Linked DNA regions of Arabidopsis thaliana. Each later gene encodes a partner of the first gene's protein in a complex. Each region holds a gene or a part of one and is shown on either strand. Other genes may lie near its edges. The genes, in order: LSM6B, EMB2816, LSM3A and SAD1.

Region 1 (4,977 bases):
GTGATGATTCTGACCCAGAGAAGAAAGTGGAGACCATGAAACCAAAGTTGAAGACTTTACATTGGGATAAAGTTAGAGCAAGCTCGAGCCGTGTTATGGTGTGGGACCAAATCAAATCAAACTCCTTTCAGTAAGACATAACGAATCTGAATTAAAGACTTGATCTATCCTTTTGCATACACGACTAAGATATGATTCTTTTGTGTTTTTGCAGAGTGAATGAAGAAATGATAGAGACATTGTTCAAGGTGAATGATCCAACTTCGAGAACAAGAGATGGCGTTGTTCAATCCGTGAGTCAGGAGAATCGGTTTCTTGATCCAAGAAAGTCACACAACATTGCTATTTTGTTGAGAGCTCTTAATGTAACTGCTGATGAAGTATGTGAAGCTCTTATAGAAGGTGAGTAATTTCCAATCTGTTGTTGCTTAGGTTACTCGCACTTACTGCAACATTGCATTGGTTTGATGATTCCTCAAATTGGTCTGTGATTATTGAAGCTTGACTTGTTTGACTTAGTTGATGTCTAATCACTTTCTTGTTCATGAATCAGGTAACTCGGATACGCTTGGACCCGAGCTTCTCGAATGCTTGCTTAAGATGGCTCCTACTAAAGAAGAAGAGGACAAGCTTAAGGAGCTTAAAGATGATGATGATGGATCTCCTTCCAAGATAGGACCTGCAGAGAAATTCCTCAAAGCATTGTTGAACATTCCTTTCGCCTTCAAGAGGATTGATGCAATGCTTTACATTGTCAAGTTCGAATCAGAAATCGAGTACCTTAACAGATCCTTCGACACTCTCGAGGTAAAACTCTACTTGTCCACCTCATAAGTGTATGTCTGCTGATCAAACAGATCATTCATATGCATTTGATCAAACTCTCAGGCTGCTACTGGTGAGTTAAAGAACACGCGGATGTTCTTGAAGCTTTTAGAAGCCGTGCTCAAGACTGGGAACCGGATGAATATAGGAACCAATAGAGGGGACGCACATGCTTTCAAGCTCGACACGCTCTTAAAACTGGTAGATATCAAAGGCGCGGATGGGAAAACCACCTTATTGCATTTTGTGGTTCAAGAGATCATAAAATTTGAAGGAGCTCGGGTTCCTTTTACTCCGAGTCAAAGCCATATAGGCGATAACATGGCCGAGCAATCCGCATTCCAAGATGACCTAGAGCTCAAGAAACTCGGGTTGCAAGTCGTTTCAGGTCTCAGCTCTCAGCTGATTAACGTCAAGAAAGCAGCGGCAATGGATTCAAATTCCCTCATCAACGAAACAGCGGAAATCGCCAGAGGAATAGCGAAAGTCAAGGAAGTAATCACGGAGCTAAAGCAAGAAACAGGTGTAGAGAGATTCTTGGAGTCAATGAACTCGTTCTTGAACAAAGGTGAGAAAGAGATCACAGAGTTACAATCTCATGGAGACAATGTCATGAAGATGGTTAAAGAAGTAACAGAGTATTTCCACGGGAACTCGGAAACTCATCCTTTTCGCATTTTCGCTGTGGTCAGAGACTTTCTGACGATTCTTGATCAAGTGTGTAAAGAAGTTGGACGCGTAAACGAGAGAACGGTGTATGGATCCATGCCACTACATTCGCCATCGAACCAGACCGCCACGCCTCTGTTTCCGGTGGTTATCAATAACAACTCACGGCTAAGTCCATCGGGTTCTCTAGACGACGACGATGGCTCGTTCTAAGTGAAAACTGTTGGCTCGGGTTTGGTTCGGTGTATGCTAATGTTTTGGTTTCATTTGCTACGTACTCAAGTAATATATGTGTTATACATATTTATATTTTTATTGATAGGCGAATTTAAATAGATTTTGGCAGATTGTTGCAAGTTGCTATCATCGGGCTCTGTACGTGTTCCAGTCCTCTGTTGAATTATTTATGTCACGTGTAGATGTATTTATTGATCTAAACCTAAAACGATAGAAGAACTAAAGTCTTGTGAAAAGTTAAATTATTGCAAGCTATACTATTTACAAAATGTAAAAAAAGAAACTGAAATTATTCTTTTGTTTGGTTCACATTAGGCATTTCCAAATTGCTGATGTCAAACATCTTTGCAAAGTTCTTCTCCCAACGAATTTTGAAAATTCACCATTTTCACGATTAAAATTTTAAAATTGACTAAAAAGTTTTAATCTCGCACATAATTAAACCACAATAAAAAAACTTGGACTTCGGATTGTTTTCCATGTGGGCTGATTCGAATTTGGGCTTGGGCCTTTTTAATTGTAATTTTATTTTTACTTATTTGTAAATGCGTCACATGTCTTCTTCGCTCTGTTCGGCTGCTTCATCGAGCGGAAGTCTCTAGCCAATTACCGTTTGTTCGTGGACTCGAGGTTCGTTGTTCTTAGATTTCCCAGACTCATCTGTTTCTGCAATCCATTTCAAAGTTTCTCTTTTTACTTAATCCAAGTCATTCGCGCATTTCCTAATTGGTCTGAGGTTTAGGGTTTTAGGGCACATAGTTTTGTTTGATTCGGGAGTAATCGTTGAGATGCTACGAGTTTGGTATTCAAGATGATTCCTTTTCTCAAGGTCTTTATGTAATTTGATTGATTTATGGATCTCGAATTGCTGACATGAATTTGTTGCTTAAAGTTGTTGGCTTTGTGGGATATTCTGAGGGGTCTTGTTTGATTTGGATCTAATTTGGTGGGCAGATATTGTGGTTTCTTAGCAAAGAAGATGAGTGGAGTTGGAGAGAAAGCTTCTGGAACAACTAAGACACCTGCTGATTTCTTGAAATCTATCCGTGGTAAACCAGTTGTTGTCAAGCTCAACTCTGGTGTTGATTATCGAGGTCTGTCTCTCTCTCTTTCTGCATTTTGTGTTCTCCTCTAAGATGTATCCAGTTCAAATTCTTTTTTTTTTTGCCTTGTGTGATGATATCTTATAGTTTGCTTCTGATTTTCGGTGGTTATTAAGCTATCGGAAGTCTATGTAAACTTCTTTATCACTTTGGGTTTAGATGTCTCAATGCCTTTCTTTCTCGCCATGTTACTGGAACCTTTGGATGTTGGTTTACAGAATGACTCTTTTCTTTGTCTAAGAACTGCTTGCTTGATTCTCATTTGATTTGAAAGTCCCATCTCTGAAGATTCATTTTTGTTGAGCTTGCTTGTTTTTTCCCTATCTTGTCTCTGTGTTTGAGAAGGAATAATACATTTCGGCTTGAGATATTTGCTTTGGATTTTGAGAAATATAATCTAGATGAGCAGGAAATTAACATACGGCTTTGAAACATATGCTTTTTGGAATTTGAGAGGAATATTAGATTCAGATGATAGCTTTGTGAATTGAGAGAGCTTCTCTCATGAGATAACAGACCCAAATGTGGTTGAATTTGAGATGCATTTACTCTTGCTTCTGATAGAATATGGACTCTCACCTTGCTATGGAGCCTTTATCACCTGAAATTAAGACCTTGGTCTCTTGAACTCTATAATATAACTTACAGGACTAGGAGAACTTCTAGCTTGAATATCTTTCTTTGGTTTATCTACAAAAGTCAGACTTATTCTTTCTTTGGCATATCATGTTGTATCAATCTACATATGACACTTTGTCTCTCTTCTTGTTTGCAGGCATTCTTACTTGTCTTGATGGATATATGAACATCGCAATGGAGCAAACCGAAGAGTATGTAAATGGCCAGCTGAAGAACACATATGGCGACGCTTTTGTCCGTGGCAACAATGGTAAAAACCAAATCACATTCATCATCACTCTTTAAATCGGTTTAGTATGTTTTTTTATATCCAATTCTGAAAAATATGCTCTATGTTGGCCACAGTTCTTTACATCAGCACAACAAAGGGGACATTGTCAGATGGAGCATAGCTCTCTTTCATCACCATGAATGTTCATCTTCTTCTCTACCTCTGGCATATGACAAATGTAGGATTTGTAGCAACCAGAGTTTATCACCACTGCATGAATTCGACATGTCTTTTTCTTCCGCAACTCAGTTTGTGTCTAAATCATCTCCAAAATTCTGAGATATAGCTAGATTTTTATTTGTTATGAAATTTTTTTTAATCACTGTTGGTCTTTGGAGCCTAATTATCGTGTTTTGATGACGCAATCACTGCGTCACAATCTGATGTCATCTTAACAATCATTAATGTATTTTTTTTTTCTTTTCTCGTAATATTCTTAATTATTCTTCGACAGCAAAGGTTTAAAAACTCCTTATTTCAATCATTAATGTATTTATGATTTGATCGAATAACAATAATATAGCTTATTTTGTTCTATTCTATCGTATTTGATTCTTCTTTCGTTTTTTTTTTGTTTGACTTAAGAAACCGATTGTTTATAGTAGTAAACATTTGTTTTTAATGTTGCTCGATTCCAGTGCACATGTCCAGGCTAGACACTTGTCGTTATAAAGGTTGCTTTGGTTCAATATTGATCCACTAGAGATGTTACAACTATTGTTGACATCTGAGATTGTGTGATAAGAAAATATGAAACTGGATTTAGTGAAAGTTACAATATATAATCATACATCATAGATAGGAAATAAGGAAATGTCAGATATACTTGAAGAATACATCAAATAGACAAGGTCCTTTTTCTTATTGTCGACTATTATAGAGCCGTACAGAACCTTTTCACGTCTTTAGTAATTAGTACATTCTCCATTTCGGCTCTCTCTTATTTTTTTTCCATCTCTTTTACTTCTCCAAATAATAACAATAAAAGCTTCGATTTTGTGTGTGTTTGTATTTACATCTTGACATCGATATTCTTTTCATCAATTTTTTACCAAAAATGTAATAAAAACAAAAAAAAACCAACGCTGAACACAGACATGGTTTCTCCATCCGTTTATATTCATCGTTTGTATGTTTACTTAACAACTTATTTCAAAATAGTACATATCATGGTTGTGTTTTTAAAAAAAGTATACAGAACAGAAAAGCACATGGTAGACAAAATAATGAAGC
Region 2 (4,411 bases), about 17 Mb from region 1:
CTAGCTTGATCTCTCCGGTGTATCAGACTTCAATAGTTTATAATTTACTTTTCGATAACGATTATGATTTGTCCAAAAAATAAAAGTGAAACCAAAATTTAATTAAACAAGAGGGAGATTATAAAATAGTCCTCACTACGGCTGGACACGAAAAAATATCCTGAAAATTAGTGATATTTGTTATTCGATTCGTTTTAACAGAATAATTGATTTTATGATTTGCTTTCATCCAAAATATTCGGATACCCGAATTTTTTTTGTGATGATTATGGATATCCACTTTGATATATCTATTTTTTTTATATATAAATTATTTGATATAGTTTTAAAATAAGTTCCAAAACACACATTGTTGATATCACTGATCAAGAAAATGCTATTAAATTAATTCTAAAAACCAAAATCCGATAGTTTAAGATGCCACTAACATGAAAGAAAAATGACCAAACTAATAACTTAACACAATATATCCAAAGGAGAAAAACTAAAGTTACAAATACTACAAACCCAAAATATACAATTATACAAACTATATTATGATATCTACATATATATACATGACTATATATTCTAACTAGATAAGGATCCGTCCGATGGACGAATTTATTTTTTTATAACTAAAATTAAATTCAGTAAAAATAATAAATAATGACGTTGTAAGTAGAAATTATCTTTCAAAAGTAAAATATATTTATTTTTACTGTTTATTGTGTTTTTCACCACTAATATTATTGATTAAAAATTATTTGAATGAAAAATATATCACATTGACTAAAACCCTTTATATATAAAGATGATCTATCAACGTTGACTAAAAACTTTTGAAATCATGACATATGATAAAACTTTTGATTGATAACTTATTCATGATAATATTAGTTACTAATTTTGAGAAAAAAATCTATTATATTATTTATAAAATGTGATATCCGTCAATGCTGAAGATAAATGGTTTTAGTAGAAAAGCATTTTCAGGCCGATTTGACCCGACTGAGTTCAAACGGATGTATGTGGAGCTTTTACAAAATAAAGTTGACTCATTTTTAGTTATCTATTTTGTATTTACTTTATCAGCGTTGGATTAAGTAAGACAATGACAATCTTTGGAAGTTACATCGTCTCGTTGGAATACGCACAAATGAAGTCTCACTCAGGCTACGATGACCAATCCAAGCAATAGAGGAGAGATTAAGAGTCTTAGAGTCAAACTGGTCTGCAAAGAACTTTATAAAGTGATGAGGATCAAATGTAGAAGATTTGAAGATGACATAGAAGAAATTTTCGAATTCACATGTAATTATAAGTCTTTTGGTTTTGATTCATGAATAAAGTGATTCTTTCTTCGTTAATGATTGAGATTTCGGTTTAGATTTTTTTTTTAGTCTAAATTAAGGTCAACAACACGTTTGAATCTTTATTCATCTTTTTTTTACGGCTCTAATATCTCTTAATTTTACTCGATTTGGTGTTATTTAAATTTCGATTCGGCCGTTGAATACCTGAAATTTTGCTAGGTCAAGTTATTCAAATCTTTTTAACAGAGATATTTACTATTTGCGAGTTTATAAATGTGTGTGCATTTTTCGTAAAAGAATCAAAAATTTCTTTTTTGGAGTTTTGTGTCGATAGATGGTTAAGAGATTTTACCAAATGATTTACTTTACGACTTACAAGTACTTCACAAGTTCATAGTTAAATTTTAAAAGCGTTGCTCAGAATTAGAGGTGGATCAAACTTATGTTTCGTTTTAATTTTATTTTTGGTTAAATTTGTTAGTAATTGTTTTTAATAGGTTGTGCCGTTGTGGTAAATTTGCTTTGTGTTTACCAGTTATCTTGTTTTTTAAACATCTATTTTATTAGATTAAAAGTAAGGAGTATAATGACAATGCTAAATTTAGTTGTCTTTATTGTAATTTCTATTCAGATGATGTTTATTCTTCTTAGCTAACTGAACAATTGTATTACGATTTTATTAATTCCTAACTAATATCCCCTTCCAATTTTATTTCGGGTTTAGTTAACAATTTAATGTTTAGTTATCGGTTTATGGTTCAATTTACGGTTCAGTTCAAATAATATGGTAACCATGGTTAGGGATTTAAACCAGAGTCCTTTACGAGATCAGAGTTAAAAAACAAAAAGCGTCACTAGGAAGCTGCGACTATTTGACTGACTCTGATTTCACGCGACTCCTTGTGAGATTCTCCGATTGCTTCGCCTGAGTTTCTGGGTTAACTCTCCACGCCGTCACTTTGATCTTTGCTTTTCCGGTGAGGTTTCTTCATCCACTTGTTGATTTCCGAATTCACACATTTTCCGAATCCACTTGGGGCCAAAGAATTGCAAACCCTAATTTTTAATCATCAACTCTATTCTGAACCAATTTGATTTCCGTTTTTTGCAGATCTTTAGGGTTTTTGTTTAGGGAATTGTCGAAGACTCTGCTCTAACATGGTAAAGTTTAACCTAAATTGAAGTAGCAAAGTATCATTGTTATATGAGTCGAGTTAATTCTTAAGCGAGTGTTTGTTATTCACAGTCTGGAAGAAAAGAAACGGTTTTAGATTTGGCCAAGTTTGTAGATAAGGGTGTGCAAGTTAAGCTCACTGGTGGTAGACAAGGTAATAAAACAAGTGTTTCTCTCATTATGCTCCAAAGATGATGATTCTTTCTAATGTTTTCTCTGAGATTTGTTTGATAGTTGCTATGTTTTTTGCTTGCAGTGACTGGAACTCTTAAAGGCTATGACCAATTGCTTAATCTTGTTCTTGATGAAGCAGTCGAGTTCGTTCGAGGTATCTTTTATCTTACCTATATCTACTGCATTGATCTTGTTAGGCTACAATTCTCTAGTGGAATCCGCCTCTTAGTAAACGAATCTCTGTATTGCTATGAAGTTTATTACTCTGGTTCATACAGATGTCTCCATGATGCCATTGGAAGATATATGGAAATTTTGATTAGAAGAGACTGTTTGATTGCTTAATCATGTTATGTTGGTGATATGAATGGGATGATTTCATTCTCTTAGCTAGATTTTGAAACTAGAAGTGGGATCATATTTCCATAGATCTAACTCAGTTTTATGACCCTTGTGTTATGTTTTGATCAGATCATGATGATCCTTTGAAGACTACGGATCAGACAAGACGCCTTGGTTTGATTGTATGATTCATTTACCTTCTTTTTTCATTACTATAAGTGTAATCCTGTTTAGTGCAAATAATATCATTGTTTCTTCTAGCATCGTGTTATTTGTAATGGAGTTCCATAGTTTAGATGCTAAATCATGATGGTTTGTCTTGTTTTTAGGTTTGCCGTGGAACAGCGGTGATGCTTGTCTCACCAACCGATGGCACCGAAGAAATCGCTAACCCGTTCGTTACTGCAGAGGCTGTCTAAAGACTTTCTTCTCAAAGAATATGTCTCTCTATTAGTTTAACTTGGCGATTTAGAGAGTATTTCATCTAACTCTCTGGTGTGATGTTGGAAACATATATGTTCAATTTAAACAATTTGGAACATCATGGACACTTACCTAACTTCGTTCTCAAATCTCGTTGTGCCAAAGCACAAAATCTCCTTAACCAGAACTGAAGTAAACCGGAAAAATCGAATGTCTGAGTCTTCTCGTTACTGAACCATGGATTTATAAGCGAGTGATTTGAAATTTTTGAAGTTGTTTCCATAGTTTTAGTGGAGACGATGAAGTCAGTAATGTCAAAGATCAAACTTTTTAGACCAGTCGTCACGTTACGTTGTTCTTACAGCTCCACAGATCAAACTCTTCTTCTTAGCGAATTTACCAGACTCTGTTACCAGAGAGACCTTCCCAGAGCTATGAAAGCAATGGATTCATTGCAAAGTCATGGTCTTTGGGCAGACTCTGCAACTTATTCTGAGCTTATCAAGTGTTGTATATCTAATAGAGCTGTTCATGAAGGGAATCTCATTTGTCGTCATTTATACTTCAATGGTCATCGACCAATGATGTTTCTGGTTAATGTTCTGATCAATATGTATGTAAAATTCAATCTTTTGAATGATGCTCACCAACTGTTCGATCAAATGCCTCAAAGGAATGTTATTTCTTGGACTACGATGATTTCTGCTTATTCTAAGTGTAAGATTCATCAAAAGGCTTTGGAGCTTTTGGTTTTGATGTTGAGAGATAATGTGAGGCCTAATGTGTATACTTACTCTTCTGTTTTGAGATCTTGCAATGGTATGTCTGATGTTAGAATGCTTCATTGTGGGATTATTAAGGAGGGGTTGGAGTCTGATGTTTTTGTTAGGAGTGCTTTGATTGATGTGTTTGCTAAACTGGGTGAGCCGGAGGATGCTCTTTCGGTTTTCGATGAAATGGTTACAGGTGATGCGATTGTTTGGAACTCGATCATTGGTGGGTT
Region 3 (4,147 bases), on another chromosome or scaffold:
CAAACTTCATCACTGATGCAACCACAAAGATCTCTCACATCAAAGTCTCGAGATCATTCCAATCAAAGCAAGCTTACAAAAGCAGAAAATGAGACTTCATTTAGCAAAGCTATATACCAATCAAGAGAAGTGAAGCCAATTCCGTTATAATTCAACACCCAATTCCCTTTGTTTCAACTCCAATCCCATCCGATCATTCTCAAGTTTCATCCTTTCATTCTCCATTCTCATTCTCTCGAGTTCTTGATCCCTTTTCTTGCTAAACCTCTGCCACCTGAATCTCTGTTTCTCCAATTCCAGCAATTCAACTTGGATCTGAAGCTTCTGCTCTTCTAGCTGGAGAGTCCGCGACTCCATCCACTGCTTCTGCACCGAACCTGCTCTTCCACTCTCCGCCCCACCTTGATTCACATCAGCTTGAGAAAACGGTATTTGAGGTAAAGAGACTTTATTACACTCCAGAGAATTCACATGACTCGGATGATCTCCATCTTCATGGCTAAGGCTTGGTCTTATCTTCTTCAAAGGACCACCACCACCTCCATAATGATTTACCCTACAATCTCCATACGCATAATGTTGCTCCTCATACTCATCATGTTCATCACCATCACCATCATGATCCTCATCATCAAGATCCTCCATTTGATGTTTCCTAGAATCATCATTATCATGATCATCTCTGCTTCTAAGCGCCAACTGTAACGAACGCTGCAAAGCAAGGTCATGAGGCAAATGCAACCTATTCCCATTATGATACGAACACATCTCTTCATAAAAAAGATGTTTAGAACTCATAATCTTCCTAACATCATCCTTCTCTTTATCATTCAAGTAACCAATCGAATCCAAAAGCGCAGGATTCTCAACAACTTGACAAGATGTTCCTCTACCAAGCATATCATTAAGCTTCTTATACCGTTTATTCAAATCATTGAACTTATCCTCACATTGCTGCGGCGAAACATGATAACCTCTCTCAGCCATAACTTTAGAAACAGATTTCCACTTCCCTTTCTTCTGCAAAACAGCAAACTTTCTTCTACTACTACTATCTATACTCGAATCATCTCCTATATAAGAAACAGCAGTAATCAACAACTTCACCATCTTATCAGTCCATTTCACTCGTTGCCATGGAGATCCTTTAGTTGATCTATTAGCTTCATTATGAACACCATCACCACCTTCCTCTGTGAAACTTGGTTCATCATCATCACTCACTGAATTCTTCTCTCTTTCAGCTTTCTGTTGCTCAGACATAGACATGTTCTGATTCTGATGATGATCACAGGTTTGACCTGTAACCATAGTAAAGGGAAGACCTTCATGAAGTGGTCTAGAATTAGGATTGTGTCGATGCTGCTGATTCATGGAGTCTTGGTGATGAACTCTCATAGAACCTTGTAAATCAAATCCTCCATAAGATGAAGCTCCACTACGAACTACACCTCCTTGTGGAAAATTCCCATCCATTTTTGGATCAAATTTCTTCCTAATTCATCAGAGAAATCGAAGAGAAAACAGATCTCAAAAAGTCAAAACCTTTGTCAACAAAATTAGTACTGGATCTTAGGGGAATATTAAAGATCGAAACTTTAGGAGAGAATGAAGCAGAGAGGAATCGGGATGAAGAAAATAAAGCGGTAAATATATGAGAGATGAGTCAAAGGAAGTAAAACTCACAGAAAAAAGTTTGCTTTCGTCTTCTCCGGTCAGCTTCCTCAGGTTTCTCTTCTCTCTCTGTATATGACAAAAGGCTTTTTGATTAAAACAACCAATATAAAGATTATAGTAAATTTAGTGTAATGAAATGACCAATTGATACCTTGTGATTGGACTTAATATAGTTAAGTTCCACTAACCATGATTTATTTGCATTAGATGATTTATTATCTTCATAATACTTCGACGAAAAAAAAAAAAAGAGCTAACCATATTGGGCCGATATGAGAGCCCAAAAACATAGTAAAAGGCCGAATCGTAAGATGTTGGTTTGAAGTTTTTAGGGAACCAACGGTGGCGATTGCTTGAGCTCAGTCAGAGAGATATCGCCGAGAGCACTACAATTTCAAAACCCTCGGAGAAGTTATAATCAGAAAATGTCAGTCGAGGAAGACGCCACCGTTAGAGAGCCACTCGATCTGATTCGGTTGAGTATCGAAGAGAGGATCTATGTCAAGCTCCGATCTGACCGTGAACTCCGCGGCAAGCTTCACGTACGTTCTTAACCACTCGGATTCCAGAAACCAGTAACCAGATGTGATCTTTTTCGATTTTGAGCTCCTTTTTGAATTCCTTATTCGTTGAATTTAACACTAGTTTTTATTCTTTTCACAAATATCAAAATTTGGACCCATTTTGTTGAGTTTCAGTTTCGAAAGCCTCAGCGAGAGCTAATTGGCGTAGAAAACCTCATAATCTTGTTAAATTCTAAGACTCTCACTTTTGTTGTTGTTTTTGTGGTGTAGGCTTTTGATCAGCATTTGAATATGATTCTGGGTGATGTTGAAGAGGTTATTACGACTATAGAAATCGACGACGAGACATATGAAGAGATTGTTCGGGTATGTAATTCTCTTAGCTCAATAAGATTTATTAATCTATGTAGGCTTTAGTAGTAAGATAAACGTTTTTGGGTTCAAAATATTTCAGCTATCACAGTATCTATTGTCTATGTCTCTGTTTGAGTTTAAAGGAGAGCTTGATTCATGTAGAAGTTAATAGTGCTGGTTACATAGAGAGTGTTCATTACCAATATAGTAACTCTGTTTAGTTTCTCAAACTTGAATTTTGTTGTTTGCGCTCCAAATGTGATGTGCTAACTTCTCATTAGACTAGTGTAGAATCATATGTTCTTCTCCTGCTGATGTAACTTGCTTCTGTCAGACAACGAAGCGAACGGTACCGTTTCTATTCGTGAGAGGAGATGGAGTGATATTGGTGTCACCGCCTTTGAGGACGACCTAAATGTTCTTGTGTACTGGGATCGGAGTTAACAAATCTGGCGCTGAGTAAAAGCACTTTTTTCTGATTACTTGGCTTTTGAATTTGTAATTGTGTGGTATGTTTTTCTTTGTTGTCAAACATTGAAACCGAATGTAGCATTCGAATCTTGGTAATGGGTGCCTCGTTATAGTAGAATCAGTGTAACATACTTCGTATTGTGACTTTCTTACCGTTTACGATCGGATTTAGTTTCGTTTTCTGGTTTGGTGTAGTTTTCTCTAAAGATTTGTATACTTCCTCAAACTCATTGATTTCGAGCTCTATTATGAATAGTGATTGGTGACATATTTAGATGTGTGTAACCCTAGGAAAGACATTTTGATTAACCAAACCATCAAATTGATTCACAGTACAGGAGGCTGAAAACGCAAACAAGATTGATTTCATGAGAAAAGATTAATGTAATTGTAAGCATGTAAATTTACAGTAAAAAAAAGATTAGTGATGAAATTAAAAGTTTTGAGGTATCTATCGTAAGATATAACTTGTCATGATCACCAACACGCTTCGAGCATAGTAACAATGGAGAAGAGAAGTCTTATCTTCGTCTGGGTCTGGCTTGAACCGGAGAACCCATTGGTTGTGACTCTCTATAGTTTCTGCTTGGAGAATCAGTTGATGTTCTGGAGTAGGCAGCTTTGGCTACTGGTGGCACTGGATCCAACGGAATGGTCTCAATGAAACATGCACTGTTCAAACGGGTCTTCTCTAGCTCCAGTTGAAGCATTCCGCTTGTACATTGCTGTGCAAGAGCCTAAAGCAGCAACAGTAACAAAGCAAACCCGCTTTTAACTGAATGTGCTAGCGGTTTTAAGTATTGAAGATGGTAAATATTAAGTGGTGGTTAATGAAAAATGTTCTTACAAGGAGATCATCTGGGGATACGGATGATTGTTTGTCATCTGAAATTGCATCTTCACTGCCACGTGTTGGTTTCCTTTGATGCCCTCCCGGGTTGTTCTCAACTGTCTCGCTTATACTCTCTATAGCTTTCTCCAACACAGCTCCTTGCAGAGACTTTAGAGACTCGGTTGCATCAACCGTCAAATATGGCTTCAGTATCGTCTCAAAATACTCGAGCTGCATCCACCAGTTTGTGAAAGCAGATCAGCATCACAATTTTTTAACTATTAATCCA
Region 4 (3,757 bases), on another chromosome or scaffold:
AACAATGCAGGAGTTTTGCTGTTACTGGTGTGGAACCATCTGTAATGGGTATTGGTCCAGCTGTTGCCATTCCCGCTGCAACTAAGCTCGCAGGGCTCAACGTCAGCGATATTGATCTATTCGAGATCAATGAGGTAACAAAATATTTCACATTGGTTTTTTTCCTGTTTCGGAATAATACATACATATAAATCTTTATTGTTGCATTGTTAAACAGGCATTTGCATCTCAGTATGTGTACTCTTGCAAGAAGTTAGAGCTGGATATGGAAAAGGTCAATGTTAATGGAGGAGCCATTGCTATTGGCCATCCCCTGGGTGCTACAGGTTACTACTTACCAAGCTTGTCGTAACTAAATAAAATGCAACATTTGTTACAGGCTAATAGAGTTCTTTTCTATATGTTCAGGAGCTCGATGTGTTGCGACATTGTTGCACGAGATGAAGCGGAGAGGAAAAGATTGCCGCTTTGGAGTAATCTCAATGTGCATAGGTATATATATAAGATTTTTTTTCAGATTGAATTGGATCAATGATTACCTATGTTAATGGTATATGTAAAATGCGAACGTCACAGGCACTGGAATGGGAGCTGCAGCTGTTTTTGAGAGGGGAGACTCTGTTGATAACTTGTCCAACGCTCGTGTGGCTAACGGGGATAGTCATTAGAACATCGAAGAGAGCTTGAATAAGTAGAAGTAATGATGCATTGAGTCTAATAAATATGATGCTTTAGCTCTTTCACATTGCTGAACAATGAAAACTTTTGTCATTCTGAGTTTAAAATCAACTACTTTTCTCTGAACAAAGTGTTAAATCTAAAACCAAAAGTTACATCCTTCCTCACACAAGTCTGAAAACACCAATCAAATCTCGCAAATCTCATTCTCCATCTTCGGGAGACCCACCTGGCACCAGCTGCATCACAAACATTTTCAACACCAGTTTCTTAGCAATTTGACTATTCAAATGACCAACTGTTTATATCAAGATACTTGAAAATTCATCACAAGGAAGTTTATACAACGTATGGCTATGAGTAACCACAAGTGTTTTTTTACTTACAATGGCGATGTTGTTGCCATTGAGTAGAATCTGATCAAGCTTTGTGACCCGTCTTCCTTCTGCCGTAATCTCACTACACAACGATGCTTAGATAAATTAGTAACACACTCTAGTTACAATTCAATCAAGAATTTGTTACAATCAAAACTTGAATCTATGAGATCCTAACTCCAAAGCAACACGGGTTTAAGCATCAATTAACTAATCCTCACACAACCACAAACAACTCAAGTCACCGAAACCACATATGACCCCGCTGAAATAGACTCTATGCATACACAATAAATGTCATTAATCAGCAAATGAATGAACTGTGATGGACATTCACAAATCAGTATTGAGATCAATTACCCAAAAACAAAATCCAAAAGGCTAAGTTCTGCATAATCACATCCATGGTTCAATGTCTATGATTCACCTCCTAAAGTGTAATAGATCAAGCAACATTCCAATTAAACAAGATATGAAGCAATAATCGAAACCCTAAAATCAGACTTACTATTCGGTGACATCTTCAAGAACCATGTTGACATAAACATCGAATCCTTTGAGAATACCAACGAGCTCCTTATCTCCTTTCATTATCACCCAAATCTTAGACCCTATACACCTATCGATTAGCTCTGCACAAACAAACCAAATCGCTCAAAAATTGAAAACCAAAAAATCGCAGATCTAGTTCGATTTTCTTACATATAAGAAGGTGGAAAGTGAGAGATGTGAAGAAAAAATTGCATACCTGAAGGAAGAAGCTGTGAAGGATTGTTCGCCATGACGAAGAACAGTGAGGCAAGTGAAGGGTTTTTGAATTTTCTCTGATTTTTCTTGCTCCGAAGCTTTTTCTGATTTTTCGATTTTTAGGGTATTAATGTTTTACTTTTAGGAAATTTACAAGAGAACCCTCAAACTATCTTTTTGTTTCAAGATTGACTTTTAACTATGGAAAACTTAATATATAAACCTTCAATCTAATTAGAATATTAAGGATAAATAATCACGTCTCAAATCCCTACATTACTAGTACGGAAGTACCTTTCAAATAGTAATATTGGCTTTTGTAAGATATTATGTTACAATGTCATTGGAAAAAACTGTAACCACCTAATTCACTTTACTTTAGTTATAAGGTCAATTTACTTTCGAATTTAATTATGCTAATCTTGAATCATGGATCCATTATACGGATCTATGAAATTTTCTTGTTTCTTCCAAACATAGGTCTACTGAGATTTTATTATTTCTTTGAACGATTGATCTGTAGTAGAGTTATCAAAATGGACGAGTGGCCCGTGTCCAACGCCTAATGGACCGGGCATGGACAAGCCCATTATGAAGCAGGCATTAATGGACATGGGCGTTAACGGACATGGGCATCAGCGGACTGGACGTGATGGACATGGGCGGCCCAATGGTCAAAAAATATTAGGTTTAAGTGTTCGGGCAAAAATAAATTTGGGGAAAAAACATTTCCCCGACGCTTATTTGGCGATTTCTTCTTTCCGGCGATTTCTCCGGCGAGTTCCTTCAACATCTCAACTCCATCACATCATGGATCCTCCTGAGATTCCTAATCCAGTTCAAGTAAGCAAATTCTCGTCATTTTTACTCAATTCGATCTGGGTTTTTGATTACTCAATTCGAAATGATTTTTTGTTACTGTTTTTTGCTTATTGAGAGTGATTTTGACATGGGTCTCTTTCGATTTCTGTTACTATTGTTTGATATAGTGTTCATTGTCTGCATTATGCATAGTATGAACTATGAAGCTTGGTCCTTTGACACCGTGTATTCATGAAACTGCAAATATCAAAAGCTTAGCTCACTAATATGAGTTACTTAAACAGAAAAAAGAATTGGTAGTAAGCACAAAATGGAATTCTACACATCTAATGCTCTCTAGAGCGATTATTTACAAAGAAACATTCAAGCATCTTGCTGAAGCAAATACTATTGTGTTAAAATTTGGTTTTGTTATGCCTATTGGACAACCCATTTGGACATGGACATTAATGGGCACGGGCGTTAATGGACATGTGCCTTAGTGGACATGAACACTATTTGTCCAATATCGAAATGGACATTATTGGACTGGGCTAATGGACATGGACAGCCCGCTGTGACAGCTCTAATCTGTAGCAATCCATGTGCAAAGCTACATCCAAGATTAGCAAAATTAATTGTTAAATACACATTACCAGAAGAATTGAAAAGAAAGTATATAGTTAAGATACCATTTGTATCATTAGATATTCAATCTCGTTGTTGTAGTCATATACTTGGAAGCTTAGAGGATCGAAAAACAAGGTGCAACACATGTTAATGAGGATAGGAACTTATCAAAGATCCTTGCAAGAAGGTATGGAAGTCGTGCTTTACATTATTTCTATAAAGAACAATGTCCATATCTTCTCAGCTACGAGGTATCCGAGAGTAAGGCGAATAAGAAAACATGTTTCAACCAAATCAAGAAACATTTTTCCAGTCAAATTCAAATCAAGAACTCTGTTTTCAGCCAAATCTAAATCATGATCATGTTTTTGTTTTGTGTAGAGAAGACGTTAGGCGTAAGAACACACAAAAACATTAGCATGAAATTATGTGATGTAGTCAGGACCGGCTCAAACATTTTGTAGATCCAGTGCTATTATGTAATCATATCATGTTTTTTTTTTTTTGGACCCTAGACCATATGT

Evidence for each region.
Region 2: LSM6B (region 1) and EMB2816 share a complex: the UniProt entries of both Arabidopsis thaliana proteins name them as parts of the heptameric LSM1-LSM7 complex.
Region 3: LSM6B (region 1) and LSM3A share a complex: the UniProt entries of both Arabidopsis thaliana proteins name them as parts of the heptameric LSM1-LSM7 complex.
Region 4: LSM6B (region 1) and SAD1 share a complex: the UniProt entries of both Arabidopsis thaliana proteins name them as parts of the heptameric LSM1-LSM7 complex.

The regions. Positions count from the first base shown.
Region 1 is NC_003071.7:18,147,015-18,151,991, forward strand, and holds LSM6B (Small nuclear ribonucleoprotein family protein), read left to right. Parts: upstream 1-2,182; 5' UTR 2,183-2,361; exon of another isoform or gene 2,362-2,560; intron 2,561-2,685; 5' UTR 2,686-2,710; coding exon 2,711-2,825; intron 2,826-3,609; coding exon 3,610-3,723; intron 3,724-3,818; coding exon 3,819-3,865; 3' UTR 3,866-4,281; downstream 4,282-4,977. Other genes in the region: AT2G43800 (Actin-binding FH2 (formin homology 2) family protein), read left to right, coding at 1-130, 215-402, 554-807, 889-1,707. UniProt on the Arabidopsis thaliana protein: Component of LSM protein complexes, which are involved in RNA processing. Component of the cytoplasmic LSM1-LSM7 complex which is involved in mRNA degradation by promoting decapping and leading to accurate 5'-3' mRNA decay.
Region 2 is NC_003071.7:1,177,853-1,182,263, forward strand, and holds EMB2816 (Small nuclear ribonucleoprotein family protein), read left to right. Parts: upstream 1-2,118; 5' UTR 2,119-2,272; intron 2,273-2,364; exon of another isoform or gene 2,365-2,406; 5' UTR 2,407-2,453; coding exon 2,454-2,456; intron 2,457-2,541; coding exon 2,542-2,623; intron 2,624-2,725; coding exon 2,726-2,797; intron 2,798-3,114; coding exon 3,115-3,167; intron 3,168-3,314; coding exon 3,315-3,404; 3' UTR 3,405-3,660; downstream 3,661-4,411. Other genes in the region: REME1 (Pentatricopeptide repeat (PPR) superfamily protein), read left to right, coding at 3,708-4,411. UniProt on the Arabidopsis thaliana protein: Component of LSM protein complexes, which are involved in RNA processing. Component of the cytoplasmic LSM1-LSM7 complex which is involved in mRNA degradation by promoting decapping and leading to accurate 5'-3' mRNA decay.
Region 3 is NC_003070.9:7,418,812-7,422,958, reverse strand, and holds LSM3A (Small nuclear ribonucleoprotein family protein), read left to right. Parts: upstream 1-2,001; 5' UTR 2,002-2,102; coding exon 2,103-2,219; intron 2,220-2,471; coding exon 2,472-2,567; intron 2,568-2,889; coding exon 2,890-2,970; 3' UTR 2,971-3,295; downstream 3,296-4,147. Other genes in the region: AT1G21200 (sequence-specific DNA binding transcription factor), read right to left, coding at 145-1,476; SEC5B (Exocyst complex component SEC5), read right to left, coding at 3,548-3,763, 3,874-4,089. UniProt on the Arabidopsis thaliana protein: Component of LSM protein complexes, which are involved in RNA processing. Component of the cytoplasmic LSM1-LSM7 complex which is involved in mRNA degradation by promoting decapping and leading to accurate 5'-3' mRNA decay.
Region 4 is NC_003076.8:19,811,487-19,815,243, reverse strand, and holds SAD1 (Small nuclear ribonucleoprotein family protein), read right to left. Parts: upstream 1,899-3,757; 5' UTR 1,838-1,898; coding exon 1,804-1,837; intron 1,688-1,803; coding exon 1,564-1,687; intron 1,138-1,563; coding exon 1,065-1,137; intron 918-1,064; coding exon 882-917; 3' UTR 690-881; downstream 1-689. Other genes in the region: KAT5 (peroxisomal 3-keto-acyl-CoA thiolase 2), read left to right, coding at 11-134, 218-326, 409-492, 577-668; AT5G48860 (uncharacterized protein), read left to right, coding at 2,379-2,645, 3,333-3,593. UniProt on the Arabidopsis thaliana protein: Component of LSM protein complexes, which are involved in RNA processing. Component of the cytoplasmic LSM1-LSM7 complex which is involved in mRNA degradation by promoting decapping and leading to accurate 5'-3' mRNA decay.